Linked DNA regions of Caenorhabditis elegans. The protein of the gene in region 1 purifies or fractionates together with the protein of each later gene. This does not show direct contact. Each region holds a gene or a part of one and is shown on either strand. Other genes may lie near its edges.

Region 1 (5,546 bases):
AAAAGATTTCAAGAGTAATTTGGCTCAACGTGAAAATGAGCCTGTCCGTGGAGGAGTTATAACAACTCTGATTAGAGATATTCTAATAAAGGAAGCAATTATTGAATTTCTTCTGGATCGAAAGAATACGAGCGAAGAATATGGTCATTCGATGGGGAAAACTTTACTGGTTGTGCCACCCGATATGATAGAATCTTGGAAGAAACTTCTCGAAAAACTTTTGGAAAAAGATGATCTCGTGATTCACTACTTCTATAGAAATGAAGACAAAAAGCCAGATGATAGTCATGAAGTCGTTATCACTACTTACGACATGCTCAAAAATATTGAAAATCGGAACATTCTATGGAAACGAATTATTTTCGAGGATAATTATTCAGCGAGCGAAAAAGACAGGCAACAATATCAATTACTTTTTTCATTTCTTTGCCAGTTACATGCGGAATATCGTTGGTGCCTGACGGAAAATCCGACGCAACAAAAATTGGCTCGTTTTATGAATCGGAAAGAATATGGTGAAAGTCATAATTTGATAAAATCAATTTCTTTGGGAAATGCTAAAGACGATGAAGAAAAAAGCACTGCAAAACTGGTTAAAAACATTGAAGGCTTTTTGAAGCAAGTTACCTTGCGTTTCCCAAGAAGTCGTAAGTTGTATAAAATCTCGATTCAATTTACTAAAATTAGCATTTTAAAATTTGCAGCGAATGATTATAAAAAACACATAACTAATGCAAAAAAAGAAAAAAACGAAAATGAGCCCAATATCAGCAAATTTTGCAACAATATGTTAGCCGCAATAGTCAGCTACACCAAAGAGTTCTACATCAAACATTTCAAAATTTGTGCAGAAAGTGATGAGGATATAGAAGAAATGTATGATTCATTTTGTGCTGGTTTTAAAAACACGTCGGATGTCGGTCTTATTATGAAAATATGGGTGGACGCGCACTTTAACTTTTCCAAAAGCGAGCAAGATCGTTGTTTCATTGGGAAAACAGCAATGAAAAATATTATCGAAAATTTTGAGAAAGCAATCAAAATAATTGAGAAAGCTACGCAAACATCTATTGAGGAAAGCTACAACCAAATGAGAGCTGCTAGGTGAGTTGTCTAACAAGAAAATTATTTTAGCAAGGTCCCTGACTATGCAAAATTTAGATTTTATTTTGAAGCTTACGAATATGATTTATTATTGTGTAAGCTTAGAAAAACGAAAAATCATTCTTCGTTCGAGCGTTATAATTCTGAGTGAAAAATAGGACGGTTTGCTTCTTATAATTTCATTTTGAAAACAAAGACAGTGTTTTGTCTCTATTATTAAACTTTAAAAAATCATAAAAATTTCAGGAGTGGAAAACGACCAATAGAGGAAGTTAAAGCTTCAAAAGCTTAAGCCATGCCAATTAAATATAGAAAATGCAACAAAAAAACGGGAATCATGTTTAACAATTGTTTTTATTTGTGAAAAAAAAGATGAAATTGTTACAAGTGCTTTGTTATTTTATATTTAAAAATGCGTATACATTATACAAACATGAAATTTAAATTATATCTTTTATAGTCCCAATAATCCCACTATGTTCTCTTTTTTAAATAAAGATGGTTTAAACATATCCCCATGATAATTCCACGGTCGACATTGCAAATATAATATTTAATTAAATGTCATGAATTTGTGGACCAGAGCTTTTCACGAACCAATCAGTTTCTTTTTTCATAACGGTTAAGCTTTATAGCGTGGTCGGAAATTAGTCTTGAATGAACAGCATATCACAAGTTCTTTTAATCTCGATTTCATCAGTATCAGATGTAGGCACTACTTAACTGTCTTTGTCGATGACAAACAATTCTTTCGAAATCAAGAGCGATAAGAAGAAGAACTGGAAGCAAGTTGAGTGAGCACGCAGTACGTGTGTGTATACAACACACCGTCTTTTTGACTCTCGATTCACTTTCTTTATCAATTATTAGGAAGTATATCTCTGAAAAGGTAAGCTAATGCTTCCCAAGCAAAAACGTGAGGCGAAAATAATAAGATGGTATAAGAAAAAAATTTCTACATTCTCATGTTCAGTGAACAAAATATTTTTTAACGATTTTGTGAAATATATAGGAAACTGTCTTTTTTACAGAACCAAAAAACAGGATGAGTTCTGATTCGGATATGAAGAATGTAATGCAAGATTTGAAGAAACTTGAAAATAGAAAAGACAGCGGAGGAATAATCACTGTACCCACGAGTGATAGTGAAATAGATCAAGTAATAATTTCATATATTCTGGAACAAAAGGAGCAAGGAACTTCTGAGAATAATATTAATTTAATCGTTGGGACGCCTAAGTGGATAAAGTCATGGAATTTGAAATTCAATGGATTCATCAGGGCGGGCATTCTGAAAGACGATGATCTTCTTATTTCCTATTTTTACAACCGGACAAAGTCTCGCAGTTCGAATGAACTTGCTAAAAATGATATCGTCATCACTACTTACGATACATTGAAGACAAAATCAAACCTTCCAATTTTTAAAGCTGTCGATTGGGAACGAATCATACTTTATGAAGCAAACAAGATTAGTGACATTAACACTTTACGATTTGGAGCAATTTGCGAACTTAAATCAAAATATCGTTGGTGCCTTACGGAAAATTTCAAACAACATAGTTTGGCTTTTTTTTTGAAGATGTATGATGTTGATTCCTTTAAAAACACCAAAAGTCTAGAAGAGCACAAACTTCTTGTGAAGGACATTGAGAAAGACTTGGAGCAAGTTAATCTGTATTGGTCAAGTACTGGTGAGTTTTAAAAATAATAATGTTGACAATAATAGTAATAAATAATAATATTAGCGTCTCCTTAGGAATAAAGTTAGCCCACCCTTCGAAATACACACAAACTGAAATATATATGTATACATATGTATGTACATATATATTCGTGACTCAAAAAAGAAAATAACCAGGTCTAATTGTCCAAAGGGAAGATAGAAATAACATAGTAAACTTAGTGTCTTTTTTTACAGAATTGAAAATGAAAAGGATAAACTTTGTTTTGAAACCCCGTCAAAAGGAGTTTACAAATAGTTTAGCGCAATGTGAAGCAGAATCTACATATAGAACAACGGCATATGGAATGAATGAAGATGAGATAAGAAAATCAATCATTGCATTCCTTCTGGATCAAGACGAAAAAAGCGAAAGAAGTAGTAGGGCTATGGGAAAAACTTTACTGGTTATGTCACCCGATGTAATAAAACCTTGGAAGGAACTTCTTGAAAGTCTTTTGAAAGAAGATTATCTTGCAATCAACTACTATGGAAATGAAACCAAAAAGTCAAATAATAGTCATGTAGTCGTTATTACTACCTATGACAGGTTTGAAAAAAGTTATAAAAAGTACATTCAATGGGAACGAATTATTTTCTATGGATTTTCTCTTGCCAATGCAAAATGCAACCAGCATTATCAAAAACTTCTTCAACTATCCGTGATGCACCGTTGGTGTCTGACTGAAGAAAACACACACCGTTTCTCAGCTCATTTCTTGAAGGGGAACAATGACAAAATTGGAGAAGATGTAGTCGTGAATAACATTGAGCAAAAATTGCACTTGTTAAGTACTAGTAAGCTTTTTTTAAAAATAAACAGAAGATCAATTCCTCTAGTATTTTTTTTAAATTAAAAAACTGTTTGCAGCAAAATATTATTTTACCCTCATGACTAGTGCAATAAAAGCATCAAAAGCTAATGATTGTTGTCAATTTTCCAATGATATGTGGGAATCAATTGTCAGTTACACCAAAGAGTTCTTTTATAAAAATTTCGAAATTTGGCTCAAAGAAGATGAGAGTTTAGAGGAAATGTATGAGATGATGTGTCTTGGTCTTGATGGATCAGCAGCCGCTTTGATAATTCGTTTATGGGTTGATGTAAACTGGAATCATACTGCGTGTAAACACGATTCATTTTTCATCACACGAGATGAGATGGATGATATTGTTGATAGGTGGAAAAAATCGATTGACTTGACCGAGAATGCTCATATTGATTTAATTCGCAATGTACTTATCGAAAAGAAGTTATTGCAGGACTTGGTAAGTAAGTGTGAAAATGAGTCTGATTGTGAGTTACTGTGAGTTGGGTCATAGTTATGTAGAAAATTGGTAATCTCAAATACTTGTCAAGTTGTTTTTACAAAATGTTCACCAATTTTTCTCAAAAATTAGATTCAATCTTGATTTTAAAATAGTTCCGTCTGTGGGGAAATTATTGAAAACCAATCCTGTGGTAGCTGATAGTTTTAAACATAATTAGAACATAAGACTGGAAGACTTTTTTTCTATAAATTGACGACTTCCAAAGTCGTCAATTACTTTTTATCATGGGTGCACTTCATTTTTAATGGTTACACATTTCCAGCATAAACAAGTGCCTTCAAAAAGTATTAAAAAAACCATACTTTCAGCTACCTACGTATACACCTTCGTATATCATCTACGACTTTGATGTACTCTTGACGAAAGCAAAAAAAATGTCGGAACAGGATCCTCCCGATATAGTGATTTTCTCCTACCTCATTTGGGGCGCAGCTGTTGTATGCTTGAGAAAGTTCTTTCTCGACAGATTAAAACTCGAGATTTCGGGCCAAAATGCACAAGAAATACTCATGGAAATTGTTGTCGACTCTTTTACAGACGACACTGGTGGACGTCTACTCAGAGCCTGGACATTTGCAAAACTGTAAGACAATTTATTGTTTCCATGATTCCTGATACACTAAAAATTCAGTTGTCGCAAGAAAGCATACGCTATGAGCCATTCAAACCTGCTGCTGAGAAATTACATTCTAGAATCGGTGAAGAGCATGGAAGAATGCATCAATAAAGCCGACATCGAAAAAATTTGGAAACAGTTGGAAGCTTCTGATTTACAAATATTGAAGTTGTCAAAAAATTATTTTGTGACAATCGGGAAAGATAAATTTTTGTACAACAAAGTAACGTGTTGATAATAAATGTTTCATGTTCCTTGTATTGTTACAGTTTTTGAGCATTTGATAAGCATTTTCAAAACAAGTGGCAAAACAAGTATTGTTAGACCTCCTAGCTATTATAATACCATCAATAAGATATGAAGAATTCTTGAGGATTGTATTATTATTGCATTTGCATTTCAGGTTTCTTGTAATGAACAAATAATTCATTTTACTACCTCGTTGGCGAAATAACTTCAACGCAAATATTTCATTCTACGACGAAGAGACTTGAAAGTTGCTCAAATGAACGAATTTCGCAGGTTCAAAGTTTTCAAAAAAGTACACTGATTATAGCTGAAACCTCGAATTTCGGTCACTCTTCCGTGTCGCAGCGGTCGGAAGTTGACTTTTTCAGCTTTATCATCCTTTATTGTGCATCTGGTAGTTTATCTCATTTGATATCGTTGTACATCACTTTTATACTGCAGTATTATTGGATTTGAAACTTTTCTTTCATCATCAGAAAGGTTCTGCCAATACCGATACCCAAAAATAAATGCTGCGGATCA
Region 2 (4,976 bases), on another chromosome or scaffold:
AACTGTAATTTTTTTTGAATTCTGACGACGACAAACCTGAAATTAGTATATTTCACAGTTTTACAAAATATATTTTTATTTATAAAACTGTAAAATATACTAATTTCAGGCTTGCCGTCGTCAGAATTCAAAAAAAATACAGTTTTAGGCATTTTCAGTTACTTTTTAACAAACATTTTGCATATGTCTTTTTTATTTCTTTCATTTTCCAACAAAAAAAAACAGAAGAAATGAAGAAATTCAGTCGAATAATGAGAATAAATAAAATTAATTAATTCCAATAATGCAAGCGCGCTCCATCGGTCAAATCCGATTGGCGGTAATTCAAATAGGAATTAGGGGAAAACTGAGATTTTTTCAATTATCAAAAAAAAATCTTATAAAATCTAGAAAAAATTTTTTGAATTTTTTTATCATGATATTCGGTCAATTTCCCCACAGATTGTGGGTCTCGCAGCGAAAATTGAGATTTTTATCGTTTTTTGAGTTATTTCAATGAAAAATCGATTGATTTTCAGGCGAAAAAAGTCGGGAAAACTGTGAAAAAAAATTATTTTCGAAAGAAAAAAAAATTTCAAAAAATCACCACCATTTCAGCCGAAAAACTCGCAGTTCATTTCCACGACACATACGGTCAAGCTCTCGCAAATGTGCTCATTTCCATCGAAAAAGGCATCCGAAGTGCGGATTCAAGTATCGCAGGGCTCGGTGGTTGCCCATATGCGAAAGGAGCAACTGGAAATCTTGCAACTGAAGATTTATTGTATTTTTTGAAAGGAAACGGTTTTGAAACTGGTGTCAATTTGGACAAAGTTGTCGAAACTGCAAAATGGTTTAATGAAGCCGCCGGATATGATAAATGGTCGAGAGTTGGAGCTGCAATGATGGCTAAAAAGAGCAAAAGCTGCTGCTGAAAATGTGTGCTGTAAAAAATTTAAAAAAATTTTTAAAAATTCGTGTAAAAATTACCCCGGTTGTTTAGGAAATAATAAAGAGATTAGAGACTTTTTTCAGATTTTTATTTTCTTGAGTTTTGCCGGTTTTCAGCCGATTTCTATCTTTTTTTTCTCATTTTTTGTGATTTTTTTTCGCTAGTTTTCCCCTCAATTTCTCGATTTTTTCACGATTTTTTGAAAATTTTCGGAAAATTGAATTGTTTGCAAAAAAAAAAATTCAAAAACCGCATTTTTCTCAGAATTTTTCTGGGATTTTGTACAAATTTTTGAATTATTTCTCAAAAAAAAGCAGGTTTTTACCGATTTTTTTGGTTTTTTCCCCAAAATTTTCCGATTTTTTCCGAGTTTTGCCGGTTTTCAGCCGAATTCTACTCTCGATTTTTTTACGATTTTTTGGAAATTTTCGGAAAATTATTTGAAAAAAAATCAAAAAACCGCATTTTTTTTTCTGAATTTTCTGGGATTTTGTACGAAATTTTGAAATTTTTCTCGAAAAAAGCAAGTTATTCCCCAAAATTTTCTGATTTTCCCCCAAAAATTTAGATTTTTCCCGAGTTTTCCCCAGTTCTCAGCTGATTTCTATATTTTTTTCTCAATTTTTGTGATTTTTTGTTGCTAGTTTTCCCTTCAATTCCTCGAGTTTTTCACGATTTTTTGGAGATTTTCGAAAAATTGTTTGAAAAAAATCAAGAAACCACATTTTTCTCTGGATTTTCTCGAAATTTGCACAAAATTTTTGAATTTTTTCGTAAAAAAAAACTGTTTTCCCCAAAAATTTCAGATTTGTTTTTGATTTTTTTCGAGATTTTCCCCTGATTTCAAAGTTTTTTCCTGAATTTTTCGAATATTTCCTGAAAAATCGGCTATTTCTAACTTTTTAAATAATTTTTTTTGAATTTCTGACTTTTTAAATCCTTTTTTTTTTGCCATTTTTTCCCATCTAAAATTCTAAATTATTCAAAATTTTACAGAATGTCAGAAGTAATCGACGAAAGTATCTTAAATACAGAAGCTTCAGATGATCCAATACCTCCATTAAATGATGATCAGATTGCTGAGCTTTTGGGTGAAGATGGAGAAATTATGGAGATAACTGAGCAGAAAGGTGAGATTTTTTGAGTAAAACCTTGAATTTTGCACTAAAAATTTGCAATTTTCGCTAAAAATTACCTTAAAACTCGAAAATTGGAATTTCTAGCTGAGAAAATGGCCAAAAATGTCGAAAAATGCCTCCGAAACCTGTGAAAAAAAAAACCACCAAAAAGGTTTCTAGGCCACCAAAAAGATTTCTAGGCCACCAAAAATGTTTCTAGGCCACCAAAAATGTTTCTAGGCCACCAAAAATGTTTCTAGGCCACCAAAAATGTTTCTAGGCCACCAAAAATGTTTCTAGGCCACCAAACAGGTTTCAATGCCACCAAAAATGTTTCTAGGCCACCAAAAATGTTTCTAGGCCCCCAAAAAATTTTTCTAGGCCACCAAAAAGGTTTCTAGGCCACCAAAAATGTTTCTAGGCCACCAAAAAGGTTTCTAGGCCACCAAACAGGTTTCAATGCCACCAAAAAGGTTTCTAGGCCACCAACCAGGTTTCAATGCCACCAAAAATGTTTCTAGGCCACCAAAAAGGTTTCTAGGCCACCAAAAATGTTTCTAGGCCACCAAAAATGTTTCTAGGCCACCAAAAAGGTTTCTAGGCCACCAAACAGGTTTCAATGCCACCAAAAATGTTTCTAGGCCACCAAACAGGTTTCAATGCCACCAAAAAGGTTTCTAGGCCACCAAAAAGGTTTCTAGGCCACCAAAAATGTTTCTAGGCCACCAAAAAGGTTTCTAGGCCACCAAACAGGTTTCAATGCCACCAAAAATGTTTCTAGGCCACCAAACAGGTTTCAATGCCACCAAAAATGTTTCTAGGCCACCAAACAGGTTTCAATGCCACCAAAAATGTTTCTAGGCCACCAAAAAGGTTTCTAGGCCACCAAAAATGTTTCTAGGCCACCAAAAATGTTTCTAGGCCACCAAAAAGGTTTCTAGGCCACCAAACAGGTTTCAATGCCACCAAAAATGTTTCTAGGCCACCAAACAGGTTTCAATGCCACCAAAAATGTTTCTAGGCCACCAAAAATGTTTCTAGGCCCCCAAAAAATTTTTCTAGGCCACCAAAAAGGTTTCTAGGCCACCAAAAATGTTTCTAGGCCACCAAAAAGGTTTCTAGGCCACCAAACAGGTTTCAATGCCACCAAAAAGGTTTCTAGGCCACCAACCAGGTTTCAATGCCACCAAAAATGTTTCTAGGCCACCAAAAAGGTTTCTAGGCCACCAAAAATGTTTCTAGGCCACCAAAAATGTTTCTAGGCCACCAAAAAGGTTTCTAGGCCACCAAAAAGGTTTCAAGGCCACCAAAAAGGTTTCAATGCCACCAAAAATGTTTCTAGGCCACCAAACAGGTTTCAATGCCACCAAAAAGGTTTCTAGGCCACCAAAAATGTTTCTAGACCACCAAAAAGGTTTCTAGGCCACCAAACAGGTTTCAATGCCACCAAAAAGGTTTCTAGGCCACCAAACAGGTTTCAATGCCACCAAAAATGTTTCTAGGCCACCAAAAAGGTTTCTAGGCCACCAAAAATGTTTCTAGGCCACCAAAAATGTTTCTAGGCCACCAAAAAGGTTTCTAGGCCACCAAACAGGTTTCAATGCCACCAAAAATGTTTCTAGGCCACCAAACAGGTTTCAATGCCCCCAAAAAATTTTTCTAGGCCACCAAAAAGGTTTCTAGGCCATCAAAAATGTTTCTAGACCACCAAAAAGGTTTCTAGGCCACCAAAAATGTTTCTAGACCACCAAAAAGGTTTCTAGGCCACCAAAAATGTTTCTAGGCCACCAAAAAGGTTTCTAGGCCACCAAAAATGTTTCTAGGCCACCAAAAAGGTTTCTAGGCCACCAAACAGGTTTCAATGCCACCAAAAAGGTTTCTAGGCCACCAACCAGGTTTCAATGCCACCAAAAATGTTTCTAGGCCACCAAAAAGGTTTCTAGGCCACCAAAAATGTTTCTAGGCCACCAAAAATGTTTCTAGGCCACCAAAAAGGTTTCTAGGCCACCAAAAAGGTTTCAAGGCCACCAAAAAGGTTTCAATGCCACCAAAAATGTTTCTAGGCCACCAAACAGGTTTCAATGCCACCAAAAAGGTTTCTAGGCCACCAAACAGGTTTCAATGCCACCAAAAAGGTTTCTAGACCACCAAAAAGGTTTCTAGGCCACCAAACAGGTTTCAATGCCACCAAAAAGGTTTCTAGGCCACCAAACAGGTTTCAATGCCACCAAAAATGTTTCTAGGCCACCAAAAAGGTTTCTAGGCCACCAAAAATGTTTCTAGGCCACCAAAAATGTTTCTAGGCCACCAAAAAGGTTTCTAGGCCACCAAACAGGTTTCAATGCCACCAAAAATGTTTCTAGGCCACCAAACAGGTTTCAATGCCCCCAAAAAATTTTTCTAGGCCACCAAAAAGGTTTCTAGGCCACCAAAAATGTTTCTAGACCACCAAAAAGGTTTCTAGGCCACCAAAAATGTTTCTAGACCACCAAAAAGGTTTCTAGGCCACCAAAAATGTTTCTAGGCCACCAAAAAGGTTTCTAGGCCACCAAACAGGTTTCAATGCCACCAAAAATGTTTCTAGGCCACCAAAAATGTTTCTAGGCCCCCAAAAAATTTTTCTAGGCCACCAAAAAGGTTTCAATGCCACCAAAAATGTTTCTAGGCCACCAAAAAGGTTTCTAGGCCACCAAAAATGTTTCTAGGCCACCAAAAATGTTTCTAGGCCACCAAAAAGGTTTCTAGGCCACCAAACAGGTTTCAATGCCACCAAAAATGTTTCTAGGCCACCAAACAGGTTTCAATGCCACCAAAAAGGTTTCTAGGCCACCAAAAATGTTTCTAGACCACCAAAAAGGTTTCTAGGCCACCAAACAGGTTTCAATGCCACCAAAAAGGTTTCTAGGCCACCAAACAGGTTTCAATGC

What was found. The genes of interacting proteins can lie anywhere in the genome.
Region 2: the proteins of C25F9.5 (region 1) and lin-65 fractionate together in Caenorhabditis elegans (co-fractionation; one large-scale study listed by BioGRID). This does not show direct contact.

Annotation. Positions count from the first base shown.
Region 1 is NC_003283.11:19,407,203-19,412,748, reverse strand, and holds C25F9.5 (SNF2 N-terminal domain-containing protein), read left to right. Parts: upstream 1-1,891; 5' UTR 1,892-1,993; intron 1,994-2,135; 5' UTR 2,136-2,149; coding exon 2,150-2,798; intron 2,799-3,025; coding exon 3,026-3,625; intron 3,626-3,698; coding exon 3,699-4,096; intron 4,097-4,467; coding exon 4,468-4,742; intron 4,743-4,790; coding exon 4,791-5,010; 3' UTR 5,011-5,037; downstream 5,038-5,546. Other genes in the region: C25F9.4 (SNF2 N-terminal domain-containing protein), read left to right, coding at 1-647, 705-1,104, 1,351-1,396.
Region 2 is NC_003279.8:1,753,402-1,758,377, forward strand, and holds the start of lin-65 (uncharacterized protein), read left to right. Parts: upstream 1-1,927; 5' UTR 1,928-1,928; coding exon 1,929-2,061; intron 2,062-4,976. Other genes in the region: Y71G12B.10 (hydroxymethylglutaryl-CoA lyase), read left to right, coding at 598-914.